4 separate regions of the Mus musculus genome follow, and all the other regions are reported to be linked to region 1. The links are microRNA targets in miRTarBase. Many come from high-throughput screens and were not tested one by one. Region 1 holds a microRNA gene; each other region holds the end of a gene's coding sequence.

Evidence for each region. The annotated mature microRNA mmu-miR-105 reads CCAAGUGCUCAGAUGCUUGUGGU and lies in region 1 at 2,658-2,680, opposite strand. An mRNA with a match to its seed (bases 2 to 7 or 8) in the 3' UTR can be bound and repressed. Matches are read on the target gene's strand: a 7mer-m8 pairs with bases 2 to 8, a 7mer-A1 pairs with bases 2 to 7 and ends in A, and an 8mer does both.
Region 2: miRTarBase lists Edn1 as a target of mmu-miR-105. Seed matches in the 3' UTR shown: 7mer-A1 at 2,292-2,298.
Region 3: miRTarBase lists Hpgds as a target of mmu-miR-105. Seed matches in the 3' UTR shown: 7mer-m8 at 5,369-5,375.
Region 4: the mRNA of Acat1 is a reported target of mmu-miR-105. Seed matches in the 3' UTR shown: 7mer-m8 at 1,315-1,321 and 7mer-m8 at 2,250-2,256.

Annotation. Positions count from the first base shown.
Region 1 is chrX:72,588,890-72,595,889 of GRCm38, forward strand. Mir105 (microRNA 105) reads right to left here and starts at 2,690; the gene lies at 2,611-2,690. The region is part of intron 1 of Gabra3 (gamma-aminobutyric acid (GABA) A receptor, subunit alpha 3); the gene reads right to left. It overlaps Mir767 (microRNA 767), which reads right to left and starts at 1,205; the gene lies at 1,099-1,205.
Region 2 is chr13:42,305,058-42,312,889 of GRCm38, forward strand. It overlaps Edn1 (endothelin 1), which reads left to right. Exons shown (of 5, transcript NM_010104.4): 3 at 1-47; 4 at 198-311; 5 at 1,720-2,933. The coding sequence ends at 1,822. Among named protein-coding and RNA genes, the nearest start is that of Edn1, 7.5 kb to the left of the region's middle.
Region 3 is chr6:65,113,633-65,121,464 of GRCm38, forward strand. Hpgds (hematopoietic prostaglandin D synthase) reads right to left here. Exons shown (of 6, transcript NM_019455.4): 6 at 3,661-6,456. The coding sequence ends at 6,292. Smarcad1 (SWI/SNF-related, matrix-associated actin-dependent regulator of chromatin, subfamily a, containing DEAD/H box 1) reads left to right here. Exons shown (of 24, transcript NM_001355250.1): 24 at 669-2,417. The coding sequence ends at 730. Among named protein-coding and RNA genes, the nearest start is that of Hpgds, 27 kb to the right of the region's middle.
Region 4 is chr9:53,575,723-53,583,554 of GRCm38, reverse strand. It overlaps Acat1 (acetyl-Coenzyme A acetyltransferase 1), which reads left to right. Exons shown (of 12, transcript NM_144784.3): 11 at 1-118; 12 at 890-3,033. The coding sequence ends at 1,010. Among named protein-coding and RNA genes, the nearest start is that of Acat1, 31 kb to the left of the region's middle.

The sequences.
Region 1 (7,000 bases):
CTTCCTCCAGCATTGGTCTACTTGTCTGTTGCTATACTAGTACCATGCAGGTTTTATCGCAATTGCTCTGTAGTACACCTTAAGGTCAGGCATGGTGATACCACCAGAGGTTCTTTTATCCTTGTGTATCCTTGTGACTATTGTATCCTTTTATCCCAGTACCCCGGAGCTCTTGACTCTAGCTGCATATGTATCAAAAGATGGCCTAGTCGGCCATCAGTGGAAAGAGAGGCCCATTGGACTTGCAAACTTTATACGCCCCAGTACAGGGAAACACCAGGGCCAGAAGTGGGAGTGAGTGGGTAGGGGAGTGGGGGGAGGGTATGGGGACATTTGGGATAGCATTGGAAATATAAATGAGGAAAATACCTAATAAAAATATTTTAACAAAAAAGAAAAGAAAATAGCCATGAGTAGCTAATTCACAGATGTGTATGTTATGTTACAAAGCTAAAAAAATAAACACCTCAATACATGAACATTTATTCAGGATCATGTAGTCAAGACACCCTGAGAAATCCAACAGAAATCCAGAGGTTATGAAAGCCATGAGAATTGTTTGTACATTTGATAGGATCTCACAAAATAAATCTTATAAATGAGCTATGATACAGGAACAAAAAGCTTTACTCTATGAATTGATATCACATATGTAAAGGGAGACCTGGCAGAATATGCCCAGATGGTCATATGACTATGATATACAAATAGACATCATTTGTTCTGGAGCATCTGATCATGCTGCTTAGTTATATAGTTTTGTGATATGTATAAGTTAAAAATTATGCTATAACAAGTAGACATGGAATCATTTTGAAATTAGTAAATCATGGTTCCCTTCAGACTAGGAGAAGATCATACTGATAAAACACATGAGAAACTATTGTTACATGCTTAAGCAGTCATAGTGCATGGGATTTATTTGAGCACTGGACTATGATGCACAGGAAGTCTAGTGGCAAGTTAACATCCATAGAATTGGAACAGATAGAGATGGTACAGGAAAAACACCAGTATGTTAAGGGAGCAGAGGTCCATGTACTAGGAAAAAGCAACCAAAAATATAAACTGATACATAAAACACTGTTTTCCTATAGAGCAGTAGACAGTTAAGATTCCTCTTCAGGAACCATAGGGTATGAGCAGACAAGCATGTTATGTGCTCAGACAACCATGGTGCATGAGTAAAAACCTATATGGATTCTATAATACAAAAGTAGATGTGATACAGGAACAAATAACACGGGAATATGCCAAGATAAACAAGAGATGAGAATAAAGGTAGCATTCATAAGGCCACCAAGACATGGCAATGATGCTAAAGGCAATAACACAACATATATTCATACAATTCTCTGATGATGAAGCATTGCACCAACGTGTATTTCCAGACATTACAAGCAAATAGTTTGACTATAGCTTAAGAGTAGATGGTCAAGTATATTAGGGAAAAATGATTATAGAAGAGCAGAAAATAATCATGTTATGATTAATAGAATACTCCAGATAGCATTGATTCAAAGAGAGTCAGCACTCCATTGCATAAGCTTATGCCACAGTCTTTAAAACTGAAGTGTGGACACTATGCCCCTCCTTAGAATAGGGAACAAAACACCCTGGGAAGGAGTTACAGAGACAAAGTTTGGAGCTGAGATGAAAGGATGGTCCATGTAGAGACTGCCATATCCAGGGATCCACCCCATAATCAGCATCCAAACGCTGACACCATTGCATACACTAGCAAGATTTTGCTGAAAGGACCCAGATGTAGCTGTCTCTTGTGAGACTATGCCGGGGCCTAGAAAACACAGAAGTGGATGCTCACAGTCAGCTAATGGATGGATCACAGGACTCCCAATGGAGGAGCTAGAGAAAGTACCCAAGGAGCTAAAGGGATCTGCAACCCTATAGGCGGAACAACATAATGAACTAACCAGTATCCCGGAGCTCTTGACTCTAACTGCATATGTATCAAAAGATGGCCTAGTCGGCCATCACTGGAAAGAGAGGCCCATTGGACACGCAAACTTTATATGCCCCAGTACAGGGTAACGCCAGGGCCAAAAAGGGGGAGTGGGTGGGTAGGGGAGTGGGGGTGGGTGGGTATGGGGGACTTTTGGTATAGCATTGGAAATGTAAATGAGCTAAATACCTAATAAAAAATGGAAGAAAAAAAAAACACTATTGCAAGTATCATTGTTTTACCATAAAGACATGTACATTAGCTGCAGAACTGAGACTGGCACCCATGACAAGAAATCAAGGAATATCATATCAGCACCACCATTACTGTTGTCACATATACTTCACAACATTCTACTCAGTGTTGGAAATGCAATCATGTATTAATATGTACAGATTTATGAGACATCTTTGGCATTTTGTGGAAATAAAAGAACAGAAATGCAATTTGAGGTATTCAAGACCCCACAGTTAACAATCAATACTTTCAAATTCAAACACAAATATTTTGGCTTCACCGCCCACCGTTTTAAGTACAATAATAAATGACAATATGCTGTGAGTCACCTGACAGACAGCCATGGAACATGGTTTAAAAACAGAGTAATGAATGGCTTTGTTCCAGAAGCAGATGGCAATGTTGTAAAAGTAGGTACCATAGCACATGCTCAAGCATTCGTGGTGCATAAGCAGCCACCACAAGCATCTGAGCACTTGGCTAAAATGCACACACAGAGCATCTTGCAACAGGTGTTAATGCCATGTTACAGGCGAAGACATCAATGACAAAGGAGAGAGAAACTCATATTAGTAGGAAAGCACACAGTGTACAGATTAACATGAAAGGAGCAAAATATTCCATTTCTGAAAAAAACAGACTGTCATTATGTATACAAATCGTATAACAACTTCAAACACGTGACTGAAAATTTTTAGTTATGTAACCATTTTGGATAATGACTCAGTTCACATATGAAAAATGAAATGCATGTGATGCCAAAAATAATAAAATAATAAACTCCATTCAACTTTATTAAAAGAATGAATGCATGCCATTGGTCTAAGAGAATAACTGAATAGTATAGGATGCTTAGATGACTAAAATGTAAGAAAAAGTCTTGGAATATATGTTTCTAATATATAGCCGTACACCTACAGAACACAGGCTACTAATTGTAATACCAGTACATGTCGACAAATTACAGAAATAAACCGTGATGTGATTATTACTCAGACATGGTATGCTAATAAGAAAAGTATATAAGCAATGGATACCTCTGCTTCAAGAGGATGACAATGAAACCAAATCAAGTTACATGAAATCAGGCCATGGCATATGTGGATTTGTGCTTGTTTCTGGTAAAAAAAAAATCAAAGGTATCCCATTATATGAAGAAACAACTATTAGTATTGATAATAGAAACTGTATATGAGCAGTCAGCATAAACTGAGGGATCCTTCCCTGTACAAGATCTACTGGCCACAATATTACAACTAATATTCATACTAATGCAAATCATTCTATATTCCGAAGGAAATCATGAATTTTTTTGTCTTTTATACTTAGGATGGGTTAGTAGTTTCCATCATGTATCTTCAGATAACAATAGTGGTTGATAGTGTACACATATAATAAGCAATCAGATAAACTACAGTAGTGGGTCGAGACAGAAAGATAAGCTCAATTCAACATCCACAAACAAAATAAAGTTTTCAGTCAAGAGAAGAGGTAAACGGTACAAAATGAAACCTTGTGCTAAATGTTCAGATGAACATCTTAACCTTGAGTTCTTAATTATGATTCATACCTTTAAAACACAATTAGTTATAACTCTATTTCCAGGGAATCTGATGCCCTTTTCTAGACCTCCATTTGGATTGCAAATATGTAGTAAAAGACTTATACCCAAGAATATGTATGTGTGTGTGTGTGTGTGTGTATGTATATATATATTTGCATTCTGGAACTATATATTTATAGTTACAAAGTAAAAAATGACTATATGTGTGTGAGTGTATGTGTGTATACAAATCAAACTTAACTTAATGAAATTTAAAAAAAATTAAAAGCCACAATACAAAAGCGTATGTCTTCAAGTACAGAGGCTGTTATGAATTGAATTATGTCCTCTCCAAAGAGATTTTGAAGTTATCATTCTCAATACCTGTGGTTGTGATCTCATATGCAACTGAGTCTTCTGGTAGTAAACTCAACATGAAGTTATGCTATAAACATTTGAGTATGTCTTACACCTGAAACTCATATTGAAATCTGAAAGTTACTGTGAAATGTTAGAATACATGGCCTTTTAAGAAGCTGAAAGGAGTGTTCCTCTTTCTCCACATCCTCGCCAGCATCTGCTGTCACCTGAATTTTTGATCTTAGCCATTCTGACTGGTGTGAGGTGGAATCTCACCGTTTCCCTGATGATTAAGGATTCTGAACATTTTTTCAGGTGCTTCTCAGCCATTCGGTATCCCTCAGGTGAGAATTCTTTGTTTAGCACTGAGCCCCATTTTTTAATGGGGTCATTTGATTTTCTGGAGTCTACCTTCTTGAGTTCTTTATATATATTGGATATTAGTCCCCTATCTGATTTATAGGTAAAGATCCTTTCCCAATCTGTTGGTGGCCTTTTTGTCTTATTGACGGTGTCTTTTGCCTTACAGAAGCTTTGCAGTTTTATGAGGTCCCATTTGTCAATTCTCGATCTTACAGCACAAGCCATTGCTGTTCTATTCAGGAATTTTTTCCCCTGTTCCCATATCTTCGAGGCTTTTCCCCACTTTCTCCTCTATAAGTTTCAGTGTCTCTGGTTTTATGTGGAGTTCCTTGATCCACTTAGATTTGACCTTAGTACAAGGAGATAGGAATGGATCAAGTCACATTCTTCTACATGATAACCACCAGTTGTGCCAGCACCATTTCTTGAAAATGCTGTGTTTTTTCCACTGGATGGTTTTAGCTCCATTGTTGGTGGGATTGCAGGCTTATACAACCACTCTGGAAGTCAGTCTGGCGATTCCTCAGAAAATTGGACATAGTATTACCGGAGGATCCTGCAATACCTCTCCTGGGCATATATCCAGAAGATGTTCCAACCGGTAAGAAGGACACATGCTCCACTATGTTCATAGCAGCCTTATTTATAATAGCCAGAAGCTGGAAAGAACCCAGATGCCCCACAACAGAGGAATGGATACAGAAAATGTGGTACATTTACACAATGGAGTACTACTCAGCTATTAAAAAGAATGAATTTATGAAGTTCCTAGGCAAATGGTTGGACCTAGAGGGCATCATCCTGAGTGAGGTAACACAATCACAAAAGAACTCAAATGATATGTACTCACTGATAAGTGGATATTAGCCCAGAAACTTAGAATACCCAAGATATAAGATACAATTTGCTAAACACATGAAACTCAAGAAGAACGAAGACCAAAGTGTAGACACTTTGCCTCTTCTTAGAATTGGAAACAATCACCCATGGAAGGAGTTACAGAGACAAAGTTTGGAGCAGAGACAAAAGGATGGACCATCTAGAGACTGCCATATCCAGGGATCCATCCCATAATCAGCTTCCAAATGCTGACACCATTGCACACACTAGCAAGATTTTGCTGAAAGTAACCTGATATAGCTGTCTCTTGTGAGGCTATGCCAGGGCCTAGCAAACACAGAAGTGGATGCTCATGGTCAGCTATTGGATCGATCACAGAGCTCCCAATGGAGGAGCTAGAGAAAGTACCCAAGGAGCTAAAGGGATCTGCAACTCTATAGGTGGAACAACAATATGAACTAACCAGTACCCCAGAGCTCTTGACTCTAGCTGCATATGTATCAGAAGATGGCCTAGTCGGCCATCAGTGGAAAGAGAGGCCCATTGGTCATGCATACTTTATATGCCTCAGTACAGGGGAACACCAGGGACAAAAAGTGGGGGTGGGTGGGTAAGGGAGTGGGAGGGAGGGTATGAGGGACTTTTGGGATAGCATTGGAAATGTAAATGAGGAAAATACCTAATTAAAAATATTAAAGAAGAAAAAAAAAGAAGCTAAATGGGATTAGTTTATTTTTTTTTATTCTTTAGATTGTGGATCAATCTCACGGAAGTGGTATAGGTGTTGCAGGTCTGGGTCATAAACTGAATGTGCTCCTAGAGCTTTCTCTCTTTTACATGTTTCTATATCCCTACTGTTTTACCATCATGTTGGATGTAGCCTAAGGCTATCTTCAGCTATGACTATCTTCTCTTGGATTTCCATGCTCTAGAGCTATGAGGTAAATAAGCTTCCTTTATTTATAAATAACTCAATCACATCTATTCTATTTTATCAACAGAAAATGCAGTAATATGTTTGCATGGTCCACAAATCCAGTGACTACTGTCTGTATAAAAAACAGAGTGAAATTTGAACAACAACAAAAAAGATAACAGCATGTCTCAACAGAGCTAGTGATGATGCCACAAGCCAAGAAATTCTTGAAGCTAACAAAAGCTATTAAATTTTTCCACAGAACCTGCAAAAATAGCATAGCCCTGCCAATATTTTCATTTTGCAGTTATAGCCTCTAGAAATATGAGCAAATAAGGGTGCAATTATATTTTGTGTTCATAGCCCTTGGAGACAATAGTGAATGGTATTGTTCCAAAAGACAAACTTCAGCACCTGTGAGGTGATCAGTAACTTGACATCCATATTGTACTATAGTAACAATTATGTATTAGAATGAGAACTTATCAATAAGCATTAAACTATAGTTATGCACCAGAAAGCAATGCATTCAAGAGATACAGTAATACAAAGCATTTGGGGTTGCTGCCAGCATAACACAGCATGCTGATTTATAGTAATGTCATGTGCATAAGCTCTTAATTTTTTTAGTAATCAGTAATACACAAGAACATATTATAAAATTAACAAAGCCAAACTACAGTTCTCTAAAGGTCAACCTGGTTCTGAAGAGAGATAGTCAGCAATGCTCTTGTCACACAGCTATAAAAATGGGGGTTGGGACTCTGAGCACTCAGGT
Region 2 (7,832 bases), not on the chromosome of region 1:
AAAGACAAGAAGTGCTGGAATTTCTGCCAAGCAGGAAAAGAACTCAGGTGAGTGGAGGCCCCTTTGACTTGTCCGGCCTGCTGGCCTTCTCCCTGTGAGACTGTTTTTCACTTAAGAGAAAGGAGCAGAGACATGAAGAGGCAAGGTGAATCTCAACATACCACCACTAAAATGGTTTTGCTCCTCTGTCTTCACAGGGCCCAAAGTACCATGCAGAAAAGCTTAAAAGACTCCAAGAAAGGAAAACCCTGTTCCAAGTTGGGAAAGAAGTGTATCTATCAGCAGCTGGTGGAAGGAAGGAAACTACGAAGGTAAGAGGCTCATAAGGACTCCTACCCCTGGACGCCAGTGCTAATGGCTCCCCAGTCCTTTCTAGTGGGAGAAAGGCTTGAGTCCAGTAATAGAGTCGTCATGGTCTGTGGACTTAAAAGAGCAAAGGGCTCCTTGGATACTGGCGCCTTGAGTGCAGACACCTGCCCACTGTGTCTTAGCACACACTGTTCAGTCTATAGGTAGAGCTTCTACACTAAGGGGCAGCTTTAACATTTGAGCATATCCAGTCTTTCCTCCTCTGGCTCTTTTCTTTTTCTGATTTCCTCGAGAAACTAAAGATCATGTCAAGGAAAAGGCATTTAAAATATTTATATATGTTACTCCAAAAGTAGTAGTTCATCAAATGACCAAAGGGAAGCAAAGCCACTGGGCAAGGTTGGTGAGATTTAGAGCACACTGCTTTTTGGGTTTATTCCGTTACTTTGGTTGAAATGAGCACATTTAGAGCCAGATGTTCCTTCACTTGCTTTCACTGGCACAGGAGAGGGCTGGATTAGGGTACCTACAAGCAGCTTTTCAATGATCCTTCGAAAGTCTAAACTTTTTGAAATTGAGAAGGTGGGGGTGGTCAAGGCGCCCTTATTCAAACCTGTCACAGGGTCACTCTCATCTCTAGAAGTGTCTCCAAGAAATCCAGGGTCAAGGTGTTTGTTCTGAGCCCAATGTGGCCGTGGGGAAGGACTTCTGAGTTGGTTACTGCTCTTGTGTGGGGACAGCCATGCTTGGCCTCCTTCACACCTGCCACCTAGGGGTCTCTTTCCACCAGGTCACAGTTGCTGAGCTGACCTGAGGATCAATACCTTTTTGCTGCTTTGTCTTCCATTTACCACTAAACTGATAATTGACATTCCAGTTCTTTATGTGCTCCTACACACACACACACACACACACACACACACACACACACACAGATTGCACCACTCTTTAAACTGTCACTAAGCACTTGCTCAGGTCTCCCTGTAGGCTCTCTAATTTTTCTCTCCATCCACCTGTTACATTCATTCCTTATGTGATTTAGAAAGTGCCAGTGTGCCAGAGGGCAGGATGCAGAGGCAGAGGGTAGGATACAGAGGCAGAGGGCAGGATGAAACTGCTTAAGCATAACATTTGATGCTTAACTCCCTGTAGACATGCTCATAGGTTTCCTCTCTGTAGCACTAAGCATAAAAACAGAATTTATTCACACAATAGTCATAGACACTGCTTGAGGATTTACCAAAGAGCACCACATTGCCACAACTGGTGTAAAAGGCTAGGAACTAAGACTTGGTGTGTTGGTGCCAATTCCTAATTTTAGACATTTCTTTAGCCAAGTTGTGATTTGTTTCCCTCTCTGTGAGTGTGCGTTTAGATAACATTTATTTTTCTCTTGTCTTGTCTTAATAGGTTGGAGGCCATCAGCAATAGCATCAAGGCATCTTTTCGTGTTGCAAAGTTGAAAGCTGAGCTCTATAGAGACCAGAAGTTGACGCACAACCGAGCACATTGACTACAGAGCTCCCCCAGTGTTTTGGAAGTCATCCCTTATATAGTGCGAGCCCCATGGCCAGCTCTGCACTCTCCATGCTGGCTGGGATCTTAGCAAGACCATCTGTGTGGCTTCTACAGTTTCTTGTTCAGACGGGCAGAGGACCAGCATCCTTGATCCAAACATTCCAAGAAAGGCTGAGGTGTTCCCTAGCCTGTCTGCGTCCGCTGGGAGCGAGTGCCTTTCTGCCTCTTCTTGCCGGTTGGGAATGACAGAGGACTTCTCAGAGAGCAGAGACACGATGCCATTCTAGAGTGGCATCACTCAGAGAGCCAGGAGATTCCACAGCAGGGCGGGGTTTCTGTAGAAAGTCCTTAGGGAGTGTTCGTGTCTGACTCAGGCGCCTGGCACATTTCAGGGAGAAACTCCAAAGTCCATGCAAAAATTTTTCTGAGGAATGCACAAATTGAAAACATACTCGAAGGACAAACACTTGAGTTTAAAAAAAAAAAAAAGACAATTTTTAAGTTGTAAAATGCAAAACTCAAAGCAACTGTTACTACTGTACATTGGGATGTATTTCATGAATATGAGTCTACCTCACCTTTCTGCACTGTCATACACATTCTCACCTTTAATTATTGCCTCCCTGTATTCTCTCCTCTCCGCTATCCGGGTTCCCAGTCCCCTATACTGAATCCTTGCCTCACAGAAATTGAGTCAGAAGTAGCTGAAACATTGCCATGCTAATCTGCTAGCTCTAATCTATGAGAAAAAAGGATGACAGAATCTGGCCCCTGCCCTTGACCTTGGGAAACACAATGGTTTAGAGTTGTTTGTGTACATGTTGAAAACCTGGTCTGTGCTTTTTAGCAGTAAAAATATGTTCCCGTATGTATTGTAACTGGCTAATGGAAGAGGTTAGATTGAATCTTGATGTACTTATTTTTTTATAGATATTTATATTCAAACAATTTATTCCTTATATTTACCATGTTAAATATATGTCTGGGCAGGCCATATTGGTCTATGTATTTTTTAAAAATATATATTTCTGAATGAAATTGAGAACATGCTTTGTTTTGCCTGTCAAGGTAATGATTTTAGAAAATAAATATTTTTCCCTACTGTACTGACTTGTGAATTATTTCTGAAAACCCCCAAGAGGTGATAATCCTGAAGGGAAGTGGTGAAAAAATGGCTCTCTAGGAAGGTCAAACTTAGAAAAAAAAGGAGGGTGTTGGCTTGATTTAAACAGGAAACTCGGCACATTTCTTTAAAAGATGCTTTTGTGGCTGGTTGACCTTGAAGGTTATATGATATGAAGGAAATAGAGAATTAGAAAGGAGATACATGATACTTAATAAAATATGCATTTGTACATTTAAAAAGATCCTGCTTTTGGATTGTGTTAAGAAAACACAAAAGCTTTAAGTCTTGTCCCCCCATGCAGTGCAACCTCTCTGCTTCTTGATACCTGAAGATATCCCCAGGGAGGCAGGTCATTATCCTTGCTTCTCTGGCAGGCCATTAGGCAGCTTCCAACAGTTTAAGCTGATGGCATGGTGAGAGGTGCTTTCTCCATAGTACTGGGCTGGAGGAAGTGATGGAAAGATGATCCCCCAACACCGCAGCTATTCACTGCGCCTCACCCAGCGGCTGCTAAGCTAGCCAGGCCTGCTTGCTCCACGGAGGTTGCTGGTGCCTTTTATTTGCTCAGAGTATTTTGTTTATTAAGGAACACTGAGAACTCTTTCTTCTTCCAAGCTCAGGACTGGCTGAGTGCCCCAGAAGGAGAGTCACCGGGAGCTGATTTAAGACATTTACACCTTGCGCGCGCGCGCGCGCGCACACACACACACAGACACACACACACACACACACAAACTTTCCCTTCTCTGACTGACCCAAACAGTATTGCAAATGGTCCTATCAGCAAAGACTCATGGGAACTTGCTGGGCTTCTGGAATCTTCACTGCCTTTCTCTAGGAGAGGCTGAAGGGATGGCCAGCACTGAACAAATATTAGCTCTGTAGGATTACTGTTATCCTAACTGAGGCATGGTATGTCAAATTACAGTCTTCCGACCCGCATGGCCAACATCCTAGGCCGCTCACTGCAACTCTTTTTCATCCCCTGTTAAATTATTAACATTTTAAAGCACTGTCTGAGTGAGGTATATGGGAAAAGTGTCTGTATGGGTATTTTACTTCACCTAATGAATTGCTTGCCACTGTGTGACTGGCAGTGGCTGCAGGGTGGGGGTGGGGGTGAGGGTGAGGGTGTCCTAAAGCCCTGGCTCCTTCCACATGGTACTTGGTACTTGGCCTGCACTTGGCTACCATTTCCTATTGAGCAAACTTCAACCTTCTGCCTCAGGATCTCCCTCATTGAGAGAGAGACAGAGAGAGAGAGAGAGAGAGAGAGAGAGAGAGAGAGAGAGGATGGGGGTGGAAGGATTTTCTTTCTTCTTTTTTTAAGTTTTAAGAACAAGTCCAATGGTGAAGATGCTGAGGTGGTACCAAGAAAACGAAGGTCCAAGCTCAGAGAACACCAGTGCAATGTATTTAAGAGGGAGCTGGGATGGGAGAAGCCACTGAATGAAACTGTTCAGAGAGTGCTACAACTGCAGTGAAGCAGTTTTGTTTGTTTTTTGAGACAGGATTTCTCTGTGTAGCCCTGGCTGTCCTGGAACTCTCTGTAGACCAGGCTGGCCTCGAACTCAGAAATCCTCCTGCCTCTGCCTCTCGAGTGCTGGGATCAAAGCATTAATTAAACCACCACTGCCAGGCAGCAGCTGTCGTTTTTTAATAGGTTGAACTCTCATCTTCTTTGGCTCCACAATTGATTGCTGCTTCAGTAACTGGCAAAAAAACAGAAAGGCAGGAAGCAGTCTTTCTCTTCCATCCCTCCTCTGGGATTCAGATCAGCAGTTAAAGAAGCTTGGGGGGGGGGGGCACGGCGGAGTGTGGGGGGGGGGGGTCGCAGGCAGCTCATTCTTTTCAGTCAGACTTCCTTCTGGGTTTCCAAAAAACTCTGCTTTCTGGCAGTGCGCTTGCGTGCTTGCGACAGATTTTTCTCTTTACTCTTAAGGGTCCGGCAGGGCTTCAGTCTCAGGAGAGTAGAGCCTAAGAGGGATGCGGTGACGTTTGGCAGGGATGGGGGAGAGAGGAGCCCACTAATGAGTGCTTCCTTTTCCCCTGGGGATTAGCTTCTTGGCTGATGAAAACCGTGGGTTTGAATTCCACCTGTGCTTCTCCAGAGCACAGCAGCGAGAGGAATTATATTCAGCTGGAGTTCTCTTGGAAAGAGACTTTCTAAGATCAAATTGGAACTTTGCTGGTTGTTTCTTTTCTGGAAAGAAAAGAAAACAGAGACCCAGAGACGGGGTGGGGGTGGGGGTGTGGGTGGGGGGAGGGGGGAGTGAACTGAAGTCATGCAGTCCTTCGGAAAAGCTGGCAAGCCTGGGCATCATCACAGAGCCCGCTGGTTCACCTCCAGATTTCTGGGGTTCATCTGGAAGAGGCACTCAAGCAAACCTATAAAAAGGGGGTTCTGGGAGGCTGGTGGGGTGGGTGAGTAAAGCAGTCTCCAGGAAAGCTTCACCTCCCAGCTTCTCTGATAAAGTTAGCTGATCCAGTCAGAGCTGGAGTTCTCTGGTAAAGCATTTGTCTAGCTTCCACCAGTCCTGGGCTGGATTCCTGGCACTACAGATAAATAAAATGGCAGCCTGTGGGGTGGGGTGAGAGGCCCTTGAAGAGGTGGATAAGTCTTATTGCATCATTAAATGAGTAGCTAGAAAAACATTCAATCACGTTTAGATTTATTTACCAAGTGAAACTCCAATGAGTCAAAGGGAATTCTTTTAGTTGGAGTGGCATTCTCTCTATAATGCAAGATGGCATTTATCTTCCCAAAGTCTTGAAAAGGCTGGTTTTTAAGCCCAAAATCTTAATATGTTACAATAACTTGTTCTCAATGGAATTCATTCATTCCCTCACCATGGCAGGGCCAGAGCATCTAGTCTGACATTCAGCAGGGGTGCTTTGTTAGTGACTCTCCGTGGCCTTCTAGATTTCAGTCAGTCAAGTCTTTGTAGAGAACTTGGCTTCTCTCTTCCTTTCCACCTGTGAGTCACCTTCCCACCAGAACCCTGTCAGGAAGCTGCGGCCAATACACAAAGTCCTTTGACATCCAAGGAGACAGATGCACCAAACGTGTGGCTTCTCCAGAGACCTTAGACAAACAGCAGTAGTGAAACTAAAGATCCATGGGATTTTTCTTTGTTTGTTTGTTTTGTTGTTGTTGTTTCTGTAAACTTTTTTCATATCAGAAGAGGTTTCTTTCTTCCTAAAGCGGGCAGAGAGGAAGGCTGTGTCTGTTTGCGAGTAGGCTGTGAGGGGAACTGTTCTTTTATTTTTCTCCTTGGGGAAAAAAAAATCAATGTTCCATACACAGCCCGAGGTTTCACTGTGAATGCTTCCAGTGGATGGAGCTTTATCAGCTACCTAACTTCATGACTTCAAAGCACAGTGGGCAGAACACTTGCTAAGATGGGTGATACCCATCTCCAACCCTGGTGTCACTGAGGACTTTATCAACCTCTGCTGTCTCTGAAGCCAACACAGGGAAGAAGCTACAGTGAAAAATAGCAGGGTTGGGGTCACCATGTCACTTCAAATGCTGGGCAATGATGAGACGGAGAGATAGGATACCACTAGATAAAACAGAGAGAAGGGATGTATTCTAGCCATGGCAAGATGCCGATATCCTAGGATACAGCCCTTCAGGAATCTGAAAGCAGAATGTCCTGTTTCTATATTATTCTTCTTTTTCATATTCTGAGGAAACCCATGCCCCTTCTGCCCAATTTGCTGTGAAAATATTCAGGGATGTTATTCACAGTACTAAGCTACCACTGTCATTGGATTAGGACAAATTGAAGAGCAAACCCTAAGTGAACTCCAACTAGTCTAGGTATGAAGTCTACAGATGTTGGATTGGGATGGGGGCATGTGATGGAGAAAAGGGGTTGGTCGCCATGTGAAATTTCTAGAATTCGTATGCCTATGGCTATTGATCAAGCAGGATGTAATAATTTCTACATTTCACAAGTCATAGTCATCTACATGTCATGTCCCTGTGTGTGTGTGTATGTATGCATGTATGTATGTATGTATGTATGTATGCCATTGTCTTTTCCAGCATCCCTGAGTGGCATACCAGTGTCTCAGAGATCTCGGGAATTAGAGGCCCATCGGCTTCATAGCTGTCCCTCTCGCTGTGCATGATCCCTTGTTTAGATGCTGGAATCCTTTGGAAGACGTAGAAATATTGTGAGGTCTCCTTTTTGTCCTTGGAAACTTTTAGCAGACTGATTTTACATTTGCGCAAACCCAAGGCAGAGTGTAGGCAGAGGTTTGTTAAAGCCTGGTTCTGCTTCAGGAAGATCCTCAGGGAAGGTATCACTTAAAAAGGCAAGTCTTCCCTAATTAGGTCAACTTAGGCCATGAAAGAGTGGGGAGGTGATTTATTATTTAAATAGGATGCATTTGATGAATGCTTGGCAATGCTCTAAATTTTCTGAACCCATGGCTATGGTGGTCAACCACGGGCACATGATTACTGTAGATCAGGATAATGCCTGAAGCAAGTCAGAGTTTCAGAATCACTTTGGTCTCATGGAAGTGTTCTAGACTTTGGATTATGCCTAGAACCTTTATCCAGAAATCAGGCTAACGCATGGACCTTCCTTAGTGTCTCTAGCTTCTAACAAGCCAACTAAAAGATACCTACTCAATGAATTTATAAACACATACATAGGTTTTGTGTTTTGATAAAGTGATGGAGGGAGTTGACATTCTTCCAATAGATGTAGTTAGACGACAGAAGATTTAGAAGAATTTGATATGAAAATTTTGTATACTTCCTTTTCGGAAAGTTTGTGTGGCCCAAATTTCCTTATTAAAGTTTAAGTGGTAGACTAGGGACTCAGTAGGGAATTCTTTCTACATCTGTCTGTTCCAACAT
Region 3 (7,832 bases), not on the chromosome of region 1:
GCCAATTTTCATCCAGTACCCTTTTAATATTTTTTCACTTTCTTTTGAAACAAGGATCCTGCTAAGGTTCACACTTTAGATTTTATTTTGTTCTAATAGTATCTAGTAAAAACACTAAAAGATTTTATTTAGTAAAGACACTAAAAGAGTCTCCATAGTCTTTTCTCCACATTTCTCTAGTGGGATGTGGAATGCCAGTTAGTTTTAAGAGAATTGATATCTTAATGCCATGGGCTGTCTTTAGTCTGTTAAATACGCTTGAAGGGAAGGGTATCTGTAAACTCCTTAACAGTTTGTCCAGTGTTCAGTGTCTTGTACGTATGCATCTTTTACCCAGAGAGTAGAACACATGAAAGTACTCCTGTAGTTTTGATTGTCTCAGATTTTTGAGAGATTTGATTCATTGTGCTGCATTTCAGCCATTTGTAGTTTATTGCTGCACACATCAGAAATAGTTGTGACTTTACAGCTATGCTATTACCAGTAAGTGGGAAAGTAAATAACTCAGCTGTATAGGTTAGGTCAGGTTTTTAATGAGATGACACCAAAACAAACTAGGAATTAGTTATAGGTAGGAATTCACCAAAGAGAAGAAAGGTTGGGAGGAAGATACATCTTAGAAGCCCGGATATTTCTGCATAACTTTCACATTATTTTCTGCCCTGCAGCTGATGAAGGAAGTATGCCAGCAGATATAGCCACATTACTAAAAACATCAATGGGCCTGTGAAGGAGAGCGCGGAATTCCTGATTGATGAGGACATATCAACTTGGTGCATTCAAGGACATTCACATCACGGTGACCATGGGGTTTCTGAGCATTTGTAATTTTTTATAATTTCATGTTGCATTTCACATAGTATGGACAACTTTTTGCCACTAACTGGATTCTCCAGATCCTCACATCCTGAAAATGTTGACTAATCATTTTTCAAAGCAGTTTTCTGAATGGGGTTAGTTGGTGATTGTTTGTAACAAATATGCTAATGCTTTAGAAATGTCAGTATTTTTGTAATTATTTCTACCTCCAGATATATATACATATATATATATATATATAGTGTCTTTCACTGGATAATGTGTGTAGATTTACATGTGCCTTATTTGACAATGTTTATGTCTTGTTTTGCTTGTCTGATTTGAAGTTTTTATTATGTTAAAGAATGCAGCTGTATAGGTTGTTCAGTCTTCATTTTATTGCTATTTGATGCAGATGTTCACCAATGTCAGTAAGAACTCAGCCTGAATCACAAGGTGGCATTCCATCCACTAATGTCCCCAGGTCCTCTTCTTCCTCCTGTTAGAACACATTTGTTTGGCTAAGCACTAAGTTGTTTTCCAGTGAGTAGGAACTGAAGCCTTTCTCCTGCTCTGGGGGGTCAGTTCCTTCTTTCATTTTCTTATTGCACCTCTGGCTCATTAACTCTGCCTTCGCTTGTGTGTGTTGCTATCAGCTTCCTCTCCCGCTTTTGCTTCTCTTAACCATTGCCCAGTCACTTCTGCTCCAGTTTTCTCTTACACATTTCCTTCTGCTGAATCACCAAGATCAGCAGATGTTGGTGGCATATTTCTAGTCCAGCAGAACAGATTAACTTAAAGATACTTTCACTTCAAAGGAAACTGGATGTGACTTCATACCAAGGTAATGCTAGATACTGCATGAAAATAGGTCATTAACTTTAAATTCTTAACAAAATATAATTTACCAGTTCCCAGGATTTCCAATACAGAACCACCTGAAGAGAAGCCATTGTTCAATTCCAGTTCAGTGTGGGTGACAAAGTGAAATTTAGAAGTAAAATTGTCTATTTGGTATTTCAGTCTTTATTAACTTTTCATTTAAATTTTGCCTGTCAGTCTATATTGCTGTTTTTATTATACATCAGATTCTTTGTATAACTTGTGAGTTTTATGTGCTTTGTTTTATAATGTAAATATCATTATAAATAAACTTATTTATAAATGAGAGATTTGTTAATTATTGTAGCTCATACTTTTCAAGACACCCCCAGTGCTGAGGTGCTAGGTAAACACTTAGATGGGTGACACAATCCTACAGTGCTATTTTTTTTTCAGGTATCTGAGACTCTGAACTCCTGACTCAGTAGATTTAATATTGAAGATATATGACTGTATCAAATTTATCTCCCCACTACGGGGCTGCCAGGAATTTGCAGGTGTTAATGCTACCTCCTTGTGATCACAGTACCCAGGTCGCTTAGTCAAGTTGTTGGAAATTGTACCTTTTAAACCCACAGTGAATTTCCCTTAACTTTTCTGTGTGAAATGTGTCTCCCACAGTAGGCTCATTGGTTGTGGTGTTGTTATATCTGAATTTTTTCTAATGAAATGTAGTTGGATTCTCCCTGTAATATTTTATTATGTCTTGGGTTTAATAAAAATATTTGTGATCATTAAGTTGTATTTCACACCCTTTGTAATGGTTTTTAGCCCTCGTTCTCCTTCCCCAGAGAAGTATGTAATATTGAACAGAAACAGGACCATCTTATGTTTAAGATATTGCTTGGCAATGGATAGGGATTTGGTACATAAAATGAATCCTCAATTGTCCTTTCATTGGGCCAGTGTCATTAAACATCACAGTCCATTGGTAGGCTTTTATTTTCTCCTTTATAAAACAGGATTTCTTGGCATAGACCTAGCTGTCTTGGAACTCTGTTGACTAGGCTGGTCTCTGCCTTCCAAGTGCTGGGATTAAAGATGTCCACCACCCATCATGAAATAGGTTTTATTTTTTTAGTATAAGTCATATATGTGTAATAAGACACCTTATGTGTCTTGTCTTGGACAGGTGACTCGCCGATAGGAGTTCCAATAGAGTCAAGGTGTGGGTGGATCAGAAGATTGGGTTTCTATTTGTGCAGCCTGTAAAGAAGGGATCTACCTTCTTCAGTGGCTGTCTGACTTAACATTGTGGCTATGTTAAATACTGCCCTATAGAGCATGCTGATGTTACACTGATCATAGAAATATGTAATACTATTTTGAGTTTCCATTTTTCCCATAGGAATTGTGTTTATTACTTTTCCTAAATTCTGTTTCCATTAAAGATACTCTTTTAGCCAGGCAGTGAAGGTACATGCCTTTAATCCCAGCACTTGGGAGGCAGAGGCAGGCGGATTTCTGAGTTCGAGGCCAGCCTAGCAACAAAGTGAGTTCCAGGACAGCCAGGGCTATACAGGGAAACCCTGTCTTGAAAAACCAAATAAAAAACAAAACAAAACAAAAAGGATAATCTTTTATGGAAGGTAATACAGAGGGAAGTACCTGCGCATCAGGGTCATCTCCACCTTCATTAAAAGCATTGTTTGTATGTTTCCCTAAAGACTTTTTCCTATTGATTGTTTTAATCACACAATGTCTACCCATGCAACGAGATTCTTTTTTATTTTAACAGCCACCAATGTTAAAATTTTATTTAAAAGATCAAGTTCATGCATTTTATGTTTAACATACAAAATTTTGTCCTCTGTTCCCCCCCCCCCCAGCCCTGTTAAATCAGAGAAAATGTTCTAAAAAAAGAAGAGATGTTAAATAAGAGCACACCTATCTGGACATGTATTTCTTTCTCTCTCCCTACAATCTCCTTTTTTATTTTTATTTTTTGCCTTTTAGCAATATGTTCTTCTGAATCTCACATAAAGCACAAGATCATCTTTATTAGTATTTCCATACATTTTGCAACATACCACACACACTATTAACATTAATGAAGCTAACATACAAAGCAAAGTGTGCATTCCATCAATATAGTTTAAAATAGGGATCCAGGTTCGGCAGCATGGAAACGAGATTACAGTGAGTGCAGTGCCAGCTTGGGCCTGGGCCACATTGTGCATCCCAGTCAGCCTTCAGATACCAAGTGAGAAAACAGTCCAAAACAGTCCTGGGGAGTAATATTGCTAATTAGGAGACCCTTTATAAACAAAAATAAAATGGTTGCATTTAAAAAAAAAAAATAAAATGAGTATAAGTGCAAATGCCACAGTGCTTAAGGGGAGGGCAGAGGACAGACAGTAGGTGAAAGTCAGTGTTTTGCTTCCATTATGTAGGTGCCAGAGACTGATCTTAGGCCTTCTGGGTTTGGCGCCAAATGCCTTTATCCATGGAGCCAGCTCACTGGCCTGTTGTTTAGAAGATTGTGTAGAGAGGTGCTTTCCACTCTGTTTCTCAGCCACCATGAGTAAGTAAACAGTCATTTTGGCACATACTGCTCCACAGTTCCAACCCAGTGGAGCCAATGAGTGGAGCCACACAAATCTTCCCTCCCTGTAAGCTGTTGTGTATCTATTACACTTTGTCAGCAAATAAAAACTAATTATCGCAGACTGTTTGTTTTTTTCAGTTCACAGCAACACTAGGAGCAGTCCCATTTCCTGCTGTCCCCACACCTACAGTCTCCTCTGTTGCTAACATGTGCTACATACGCTACAGTTTGCATGTGTTCTGCATTCTGAGTAAGTTTATAAATGTAAAGACGTGTACTCATTCTCTCTGACAGCATCCCACAGAACAGACTGCCCGGACTGCCCATCTGCCTCCCGTCTTGCCCATGTCACCACTGGCTTGGGCAGCTTCTCATCCTCTTCTTTTGCATAGTTGGAGCCTTTTTGTGTTGGCTCCTTTCACTTAGCTGTGTGTGGCACTGGCTCACCCATGTACTGTTCGTGGCTTACTAGCCCTGATGTGTACGCACCAAGGATTGTTCTGCATTTCCTGCTAAAGGCCATCTTTGAGGTTTTTAAAGTTTTAGCAGCTGTATGTGAAGCAGCATCCAAGATATATGTTCAAGCTTAGTGTGGACATGCTCATTGAGTAAATACACAATGTGAGACTGACGGGCCCCACAGAAGGGGACATTTTAATTTTTGAGAAACTAGTTCTCTCAGTGCCATCTTTTGCATTCCTGTCCCCAGGTCCCATAACTTCAGTGTTTCTCCAGTGTTTATTTGGTCTTGAGATTTTACTGTTCTAGTCAGCACTGCTATTATAATTCCCTAGTGCCACTGTATTGCTGCCTCCTCACAGGCTCATGGCCATCTGTGTATCTTCCAGCTAACATTTCAATCTGGGTATTTATTTTTTTTTACTATTGAATTTTCACAGTTCTTTTATATTTTAAACAAATCTTTACCAGGTGAATGTTCTGCACACATGTTCTCCCAGTCTTCTTAGTCTACTGTTTTTTGTTTGTTTGTTTGTTTGTTTTTTAAGATTTCTTTATTGTTTTGGTTTTCTATTGTTTTGGTTTTCCGAGATGGTTTCTCTGTGTAGCTCTGGCTGTCCTGGAACTCAGTTTGTAGACCAGGCTGGCCTCGAACTCAGAAATCCGCCTGCCTCTGCTTCCCAAGTGCTGGGATTAAAGGCGCGCGCCACCACCGCTCGGCTAGATTTCTTTATTGTATGTATGTGAGTACACTGTCGTTCTCTTCAGATACACCAGAAGATCAGATCCCATTACAGATAGTTGTGAACCACCATGTGGTTTGCTGGGAATTGAACTCAGAACCTCTGGAAGAGCAGTCAGTGCTAATTGCTGAGCCATCTCTCCAGCCTGCTTTTGTTTTTCTCATGTGAAAGATTATTGTAACCCTCTGTCTCTTGTCTCTGGGGTATCGAACTTTCTATGTCACAGCTCCTTTCCTTGTCTCTACAGCCTTCTGAATTGCAACAATGCTGAACTCAGTAACTTTTTGTTACTCCATTTTGTGGAATTTCAATTAAACTTCAACATCACTTTTCTTGGCTGTCCTTTAATCTTGATGAGTTTCTTCTTTATTACCCATTTTGTGACATGTCAGACAGATGTGTATTTTTGTGAAGTAGCTTATACACTTTGGTGTATACCTGAATAACATGCAGTAGTTAGTGATCATTATAATGACCATTAGTTTCTGTGTAGGAATTTGCTGATTGAAGAGCTAGCTGCAAAATCTGTATTTCATAGTTAACTATGCTTACTCATAGTTAAGATACTGTGTTGACTGATACCCTAGCCAGGAAACTAGTGTTGTTTAAAGCTTCCATACATCTTGATATGCACAACTACATATATTGTGAACTATTTCCCTGCAATTATAAAGTGTAAAGTTTTGAAAAAATAAAAGATTGGAAACTAAGTGCCTGCAGATAAAGACAAAACTGCAACACCCCTTGAGTTGCTATACACAGCAAGCAGAGTACTACAAAGTTACAGTCCTATTGGTGAGAAGTATGTGGATCCTCTAGCCAGCTAATGGAGTTCTCATCTGATGATGGGTCCTGATTCATCTAGAGTTTTGTCTGTGGCCTCTTTAGTATCCAGGCAGAAATGGCAGGGATAGCTTGGACTTTGTTCCGTAATGACACCAGTTTGGGGTAGATATCCAACAAGCCAGGCTTTAAAACCAAAAGTGTGGTGCTGCAGATATCCCAGTAGAAGTCTGCCCAGGTTACCTGCTTAAAGGAAAACAAAGACTTGGCTTTTGAATATGTTAAAACAAAAAGAAAAAGAAAAAAGCATTCCAAAAGTGAACTTACTTTCTTACTCTCAGGGAACACTTCCTTTCCATTTCAAAACAATTCTTTGTTGGCACAAAGCTGAACATGTGCATGATAAAATTGGAAGCCGACAGGCATCACAGTGTCCAAGGAACATCGAAATGACTACTGTCTGCAACTAAGTGGAGATGCCTGAGACAGGCGGCTGGCAGCTGATGGTCCAGTGCTACACTTTTTTGAAGCCCTGTCCACTCTCTACCAGCCTGACCTAACAGATTTCCATCTGTTCCAAAAGCCCTCTGTAGGAAGAGGTGGGCTCCTCCCAGGTGTGTACATGTCCTGTGATGGGGAATGGCATGCTCCTTTTTGTATGTCACCATTGATGATTCCACACTAGTCCTGTAAATGTGCTGTTTGTGAGGGGATCTGTGATTATTTCATTATGTTGTGTACCTTGTACCTTTGCGTTTTAAGGTACAAAGGAATAAATAGTGCGTAGGTTATCCCTTCCAGGTTTATAGTTCCAAATAAAAGAATCTGTGTAAGATACATTATCTTTGAATCACATCAAGACAAATAACTATAAAGCGATCTGGTCCTTAATAGAATGCTAAGCTTGGCCACGGTGATGGGTACGGCCTATCCTAAGCCTGGGTCAGCTGAGCGTTCTTCATCCTTACTGAGCTCCATCAGTAGGGTGTGGTCCATAACCACAATAGCAGGGTTAACTTTGTTTTGTTATTTGTTCACTTTTTAGTTTGTATTGTTGGGAGACAGTCTGACACCGCAATGTATTTGACTGGAGCTCCCTCTGGAGACCAGGCTGCCTGGGATTGCAGCATGTTTCTCCAAGGCCAGCTCTAGAGGAGAATTTAAAAGTGGACTAAGCTTGTTTGTGTGTGCTTAATTTACTAGAACTGGTTGCTGGTGTTTCACACTTTTGCTGTCATCTAAGAAATATTGCTGCATAGAGAGTTCAACTAAGAAATATTTGTCAAATACCTACTGTGTGTCATACCCACATTTAGGTGTTAGGGATGGTAGAGAGCAATCTGGAATGCAATGCCCTCCTCTCGTGTAGATTTGTTTGTTTGTTTGCAGTGCTATGGACCAAGCCCAGAGCCTTCAAACGCCACTGAACCTCATCCCCAGTCTGGGGTTTTGTTTTAGAAGAGATTTTTCAAATACACAGTGAAATGGCCGATGAAGGCAAAGTGCAGTGGTTACCGTGGGCAGAGCGAGCATCCAGGAGGTGATGTTTGTTTAAGTCGAGGGTTCTGAGAAATACTCAGAAAATATGGACTGAAAAAGAGAGCTCATAAAAAGCAAGT
Region 4 (7,832 bases), not on the chromosome of region 1:
TGTGGGAAGTAAATGAAGCATTCAGTGTGGTTGTGCTAGCCAACATTAAAATGCTGGAGATTGACCCCCAAAAAGTAAATATCCACGGAGGAGCTGTTTCTCTGGGCCATCCAATTGGGTGAGTACCTAACAAGCAATGCGAGCCAGGCCAGTAGCTGCCTCTGTGTTTCTGTAAGCTGCTTCACCACTGCTCCTGTTTTGATTAGCAGTTTTCCTTTCTGTCCATCTCTAAGATATATTTCTGAGATAATATCCAGTAGTGAACACAGTTAGCACTTCTGTGGCTTGAAACACGACTGCCTTAGGCTTTCTATTGCTATGATGAAACACCATGAACAAAAGCAAATGAGAGAGGAAAAGGGTTTATTTGGGCTATATTTTCACATGGTGGTCTATTGCTGAAGGGAGTGAGGTCAGGGACCTCCAACAGGGCAGGAACTTGGAGGCAGGAACTGATGAAGAAGCCATAGAGGAGGGGTGCTGCTTACTGCTTGCAGCCTGATTTGTATAGAACCCAGGACCACCAGATTAGAGATGGCACCAACCATAAGGGGCCAGGCCCGCCACATCAGTAACTAAGAAAGTATCCTATAGGCTTTTATACAGCGTGATCTTAGGGAGACATTTTCCCAATTGAGGCTCCCTCCTCTCAGATGATTATAGATTGTATTAAGTTGACATAAAACTGTCCGGGACACTAACAGCGTTGAGTAAAAAAGTTCAGGTTTTTATAAGAGTTATCACTCACTTCTTGAAATTCATTGTCTAAACTTAAAAGTACTTACCCACAAGTACTGGATTTTCAGGCAGTTAGTTTGGAATAGAAACTTCTCTGGTTAGTCCTAAATTCTGTTCTTGATTAAAGAACCAAATGCTTTCTTAATCCTAGGATGTCTGGAGCCCGGATTGTTGTTCATATGGCTCATGCCCTGAAGCCAGGAGAGTTCGGTCTGGCTAGTATTTGCAACGGAGGAGGAGGTGCTTCCGCCCTGCTGATTGAGAAGCTGTAGACAACCTGTTTTAGGAGACAGTTCCATGTGACCGGCTGAAGTAAATGTGACTCCCTTGGGCCAGGTTATATTCAGCATAAGCTATTTCATTTTTTATTATTTTCTACTAAAATTTTTAAAAAATCATATCCAAAAAACACACTTAAATTACAAATAAAAATTTCTTCTTTATTTTATTTTATTTTTTTGTAAACTTAAACAGTTGGATACTCTATTATTTGAAATACCAATATAGGTATTTGAGGCATGGCTCAGCAGTTAAGAGAATTTGTTGCTAGTTGGGTGGTACATGGCTTTAATCCCAGCACTTGGAGATAGAGGCAAGTGGATCTTTCTGAGTTTAAGGCTAGCCTGGTCCACAGAGCTACTTCTATGACAGCCAAGAATACACATAGAAGTAGAAACTCTGGAAACAAACAAACGAACAAAAGAGCATCTGTTGCTCACACAGAAAACATTTGGTTCCCAGGACCCACACTGGGTGACACAGCAGGGAGGACTTGGACACTGCACTGCACGCAGAAACCAGAGAAATGAGGTCCTGTGCTTTTCTACCTCACTGCTGCCGGTACAGCAGAAGCCAGCCTTGGGGATAACCTGTAACCGGGTTCTCTCCTGATGAAGGCAGGGTAAAGTTCCAGCATTTTTACATCTAAATACACCAAAGAAATGAGAATATCACAATAGCAGCAACAAAGTTCCTTGACTCTCCCAAGCCCCAAAATAATCTAACATCCATGGACTTCTATTCTGCCATTAGAATGAACACTGGCTGTTTATGTTTTGTTTTGTTTTCGAACTTTAATCCTTGGACAGTCAAAATTGGTTTCAAATAAAGTTATGTGAATGAAAATTTTAAAAAATATGGTTAAGTCTTCCAAGTGAGCACAAGTTATAGCAATCTATGTCCACCAAGCCAACATAGAAGCTCTTTAAAGGAGTCCTGCAAACAAAACAGAGCAGGAAGCAGCAGTCACAGACCTAAGAGCACAACAAAGAATACATTCCAGGAGAGGAACTGAGAGCCAGGAGAGAGACAGACCATGCCCAACTCAGTAAACCAGAAGAGCTATAGAATGAGGAAGGAAGAAAAAATAGTATTCAAGCCAGCCAGAGAATCAACAGAATTACTGTAATGAGAAAATATCCTCAGCCCAAACTTTTAATGGGCTCAACATAAAATTTAAAAATACTATCTCAAAAACATGATCCACTGGGTGTGCATGCCTTTAAATCCCAGCACTTGGGAGGAAGAGGCAGGAGGATCCGAGTCTACATAGCCAGCTTGGTGTACATAATGAGTTCCAAGACAGCCAGGACTACACAGAGAAAAAAATTCTCTCTTGAAAAGATCAACAAAGTATTGTCTTACAAGAGACCTCATTGGCAAAGACTCATAGACTAAAAGTGGCAGAATGGGAAGCCACGTGCTCTCAAGTAGCACAAAATCAAGTAGGTGTAGCTTTGTCCGTCAGTTATAAAAGCTAGGTTTGAAGCAGCTTGTCAGAGAAGACAAAGAATGTCACTAAACATCAATGAAGGGAACAATCACCAAGAAGACAGAAGAGGACTGGGGAGGTAGCTCAGTCGGTAGTGTTGGCCCAGCAGACCTAAAGCCCTGGGTTCTTTCTTTCTATCCCTGCACTACAGAAACAAGCAGGGAAGGAGGTGGAGTAGAGACTCCATAGAGAGAAACGAACCGAGAAACGATCCAAAAAACTTGTGGTGTGCTGCAGTTTCGTACCTCTTCAATGGACTCGGGCTGATTGGCAAAGTGATGTCAGCGAGACAGATGCTCATGCTGAGACAAGACCCAGGCCCGCAGAGGACTTGGGATGTTTAGAGGCCTGTGATGTTAGGCCCAGCAGACAGTGACGGAGGTTTGGTTGGGCTTGCTTATATACCTAGCTGTGCAACACTTGTGGGTCTGGAGTCTTCACTGGTATTTCCCACTACCTCTAGTGGGAGGTGGGCCAAAAGGGATGTTAAAGCGTTCAAGAACCATCATTAAAAATGGGTGTTGAAAAACATTAAAGTTACAGATGTGGATGAACCAGGAAGGTTCACAAAGTCATGAGGAAAGAAAGAGCAAAGACAAGACTCAGGCTGAAGGTAAAGGACCACATGGTTGGGAAACAGGCAGCCTTAGAGTTAGAACAGCTCAGAACCTGCTCAGCATAGTGTATGCAGCTTGTTAATAAAAATACCATGTCTCTGTTTCATTTATTTGGGAGCTAAAATGGGCTAGAGGTGGCACAGCAATGCCCTGAAGTTATTTGGGAGCAACAGGGACATAAGAAATCCCTCAAATTACTTTTACTTTCACCTTGTACAAAAAAACAGTTTTAAAATGGATCAAAGAAGGTAAGATGTTGATTTATGACTTGAAGCCTTGAAACTCTACAGGAAAACAGGAACAATACAGGAATAGAACAAATACTGACCAGGATTCCAGCAGCCCAGGAAAGCTGAGCAAGAACTGAGAAATGGGATTACACAAAATTGAAAGCTCAGCACAGTAAAGCTAATAGAATGGAAAGACAGTCTACAGAATGAAATACTCACTATTCATCTGACAAACTGTTAATATTCATGATAAAGAATAAAAAATAATAACCTAGGGGAAACCCACACCAAATAACCCAATTTGTGCAGATGAGCAAACAGTTATTAAGAAGTGGAAATGGTTTGTAAATATGAAAATGTTCATTATCCTTAGCCATCAGAGAAATGTAAATTAGAACTAAATTTGGGGGCTCAGCAAATTCCTCAGTAAAGTGCCTGTCACACAAGTATGAGGACATGATCTCAGATTTCTCACATTCACATAAAAGCTGAGATTGGCATATGTGTCTAACCCTAGCATGGGGGGGGGGGGGGCGCAAGAGAGGCAAAATGGCTAGGCAGGTGGATCCCAGAGTTTGCTGTTTATTAGTGGGCTTTTGGCTAGTTAAAAGAACATATCTCAAAATATGAGAATGGTGCTAGAAAAATCAAGGAGTGTGCACTGTTCTTCCAAAGGAGCCAAGTTCAGTTTCCAGTACCCATACTAGGTGGCTCCCAGCTGTCTGTAATTCTAGCTCCATGGGATCTAATGGCCTTGTTTGAACATGTGCACAAAACCATACTCAGATACACATGATTAAGAGTAAAAATGAAAAAGGTAGAGACTTAAGACACACGACACAGCCTTACCTCAGTTCTATTCTTGCTAAGTCACACTGCAATGCTTGGTTGGGACCAGCCTTGTCTAGCAAACTTGTGGATACAACAAGCTTCAAACAACAGGGCTCATTCTTGACACTCCCCAGTCAGTTCATGCAAGACCAATGGCCAACATGGCAATAATTATTAAGAGACACCTCTCCTCAAATATGGGTTTGGCTCCACTACTGCTCTTACCATTTCTTGCTCTGTCCTATTTGAAGGGTAGCTAGAGATCAGGCAGAGATACTCCTGCCTTTTCAGGCCAGCAGTGCAAGTCTTGGACTTACCTTCAAGGTTCCTAAAAGGTACATGCCAGAGACAGACAAGACAGAGGAAAAGTGGCATCAAAGAGCCCGTAGGTAGCATTTCCCATTTCAACAAGGACCAGGCTAACCTCTTGTTTTATTGCTATATATCAGTCAAGAACCTTCCCTGCTCCTTGCTTCAAAAAGTTCTGCCAGTCAGAACTAGGAGAGCGTGCAAGAGATACTAAATTCTCATTGGGTATGCAATGCATACTCAGGCTCCATGTAAGTGAATATAAGTTTCTTATCCAACCCAGGTAAAATGTTCCAGAATGTACAGCTAGTTGTTACCCAGTGACTCACACTTTATAGTATTATCACTAACTCCTTCAAATGGAAGGAAACAGAGCCCTACTCCCAAAGGCCAGTGGTCCTAGGGGTTCATAGGATTATCTACAGCAACAATAACCTGGGAACATTGCAGTACCTTTTAAATTGTGTAAGCAAGGCCAGTGAGACAGCTCTGCACATAAGTGTGCTTACTACAAAACCTGATGACCTAGAAGGAAATAATTCAATGTGTTGTTTTTTTAAAAAAGAAAGTATGCAAGCAAAGTTCATTACTTAACCGTGACATACAACAGCAGCCTCACCTGGGACTACTCAGGACTACAGCTGTCTCACTCTACTGTCTTTGGGGATACTAGATAGACTTGCATTAAACTTAAATCCCCCTTGGCCAGTGGTTCTCAACCTTCCTAATGTTGTGACCCGTTGGTACAGTTCCTGATGTTGTAGTGACCTCCAACCATAAAATTATTTTGTTGATATTTTATAACTGTAATTTTGTTATAATGCGATGAATTATAATGTTGACATCTGATATATGTAGCTCCCAAAAGGGTCATGATCCACAAGTTGAGAACCACTGCTATAGGATATGAAGTATTGAAGTGAAAATGGGATCCTCTTAAGTATATATATATATATATATATACATATATATAAAACTTCTAAATATTACTAGGTAATATTGTTTTTGAGATAGAATTTAATGTAGCCCATACTGACCTCGAACTTACCATGTACTTGAAGAGACCTTCACCTACAGTTCTTCCTGCCTTCATAGCCCAACTGATGGAATTATAGGCTTGCACAATACATTCTTGTTCCACTGTAGACCCAGACTTGAGCACACTTCTAAATTCACCAAGGATTAATCGGCATCATTACCAAAGACCTAACTGGCCATTTAAAGGTACTTTCTCAAAAAGAAAACAAAACACCCGTATCCCCAAAACCCTCTTAAACTGGTTCCAGTTTCTGACATTAAAAAATACTATATGATTTAGTTCACAGATATAGATATATCAAGGCATCCCTAACTTTTCTGAAAAGAGTCATTCCCCTTTCCAATAATGAGGTCCCCACCTGGCATCTCAGGCCTTCCTCTAAATGCACATGTGTTTGGCCTTCTATATCCATCCTGGAATCAACCTCACTGCATTCTCTCCCTGGATACCTGGACTGTTCCAGGCTCTTTCATTGCTCAGTGCAGCCAGCTGTTTGACATTAGGTATAGTATAGGGCGCATGTGTTAGCAAAGTGGAACTGGTGTTGCCCACAGAAGCAGATAGAACTACAAGACCCAGGTGTCCACTGGCTGTAAAAGGCCAAGACTGACTAGCAGAGGCAGGTGTGGAAATCTGTGATATGGACTTGTACAGGAACCAAGGCAGGCCAGTGGAGGCAGAAGTAGGGCCTGAAGCCTGCCCGAGTTGCTGAGACTCATGTTTTTGGAGGTCTCTAAGCTCCTGCAGTATAGTCTTTTAATAAGTGGGACATCAATTCCAGATGGATGATTTCTTAAAATAGGACATTAAACAAAAACACTTGAAGAAAAATACAGAAAATATTGACATCTGAGATCAATCTATTCAACTATAAACCTGTATCTAGAATATAGAAAGAAAACTGAAAATTACAAAGGCAGACAATTCATTAAAAAGATAGGCAAAAGATATGGATAGTTCACAATAGCAAGGAGTATACTAACATACTCTTCAAAATGATTAACATGAAAACCGTGAGCACTGGTGACAACTGCTGAGCGGTTACAGACAGCCACATTCACTCAGGATAAATTAAACATGTTTGGGAATAAACGACACTGTGATCCAGCAATACCACTGGGTGTGTAAAAGTACATATACTGTTGCAGGATATTTGGTCACAGGCTGAACCCCAAGATTGTGTTATTTTCTGGGAAAAAAAAAAAAAAAAAGCTTGTGGTGTGGCTCAGCTCTAGCACTCGCCTAAATTTAATCCAGGAGCTAAATAAAGTCAGCCATAGGTGAAGAGGTGGAAGAAGCAACCAGCGGACAGAGTGGACACAAGTCAACAGAAAGGGGTGGGAATAGCCTCTGAGGTAAAAGGGCTTTAGCCTTCCAGGACACTGGTGGGAGTAGGAAGGTCAGCTGGGTGCTTTCTCTGCCTCTCTGAACTATTAGGTTTTCAGCTCAGGACCTGGCTCCTGAGTCTTCGTTAGTAAGATTGGACAGCTGGGATTTTTGTCTTTAAAAAACAGTATACTTAACTGAACAAGTGTAGCAGTTCCCCAAACATAAACAAGCACAGCCATGGCCCCATACTGGACATCATTCGAACATAAAATATTTGTAAAACTAGATCCACTGTTTAAAATCAGACCTATACACAGATTGAGGAAGACTGACTAAAACACAAGCAACCCTCACAATGAATATCCTATACTAACTAGGAAACTTAGAACTAATACAAGAAGCTGAGCCCATGCGTCTAGAAGGCAGGGTAGTGGTGACCCTTTGGGCTGGGAGCCATTAGGAGGGATACAGGACTTTAGAGTGTTGGGAGTCTTGACCGGGATGATCTGTAGTTTGAGGAAATCCCTTGAAATGTATGACTTCATGCATTTTCTGTTTATGTATATAAGCATACGACTGTAAAAACTTTACATTGGGTATCAGTTTGATACCTACTGATTGGGGAATGAAAGATATGTTTTTTCCTCCATAACTGAAACATGGTTTCCACGGTTTCCCCAAGAGCAGAAAACTTTGTATGTCAGTAAAACACTGCAATTCATAACATGTCAAACCCGAGCCAAAGTGTTTCACACAGTCAGCAGAAATTTACATTAAGAAATAACATCTGGAATGCAGGGTTCTCTAAAATCAGCTTGGCAAGAAATCCCGAGGATAGTGATACATACAAAGTTCTCTGGAGTGCCAGACATGGCAGCACACCCCTGCAGTTCAAGCCAGCCTGGCCTACAGTGAGCGACAGGACAGCCAGAGCTACTCAGAGATTCATTCTCAGAACCTCCAAACCA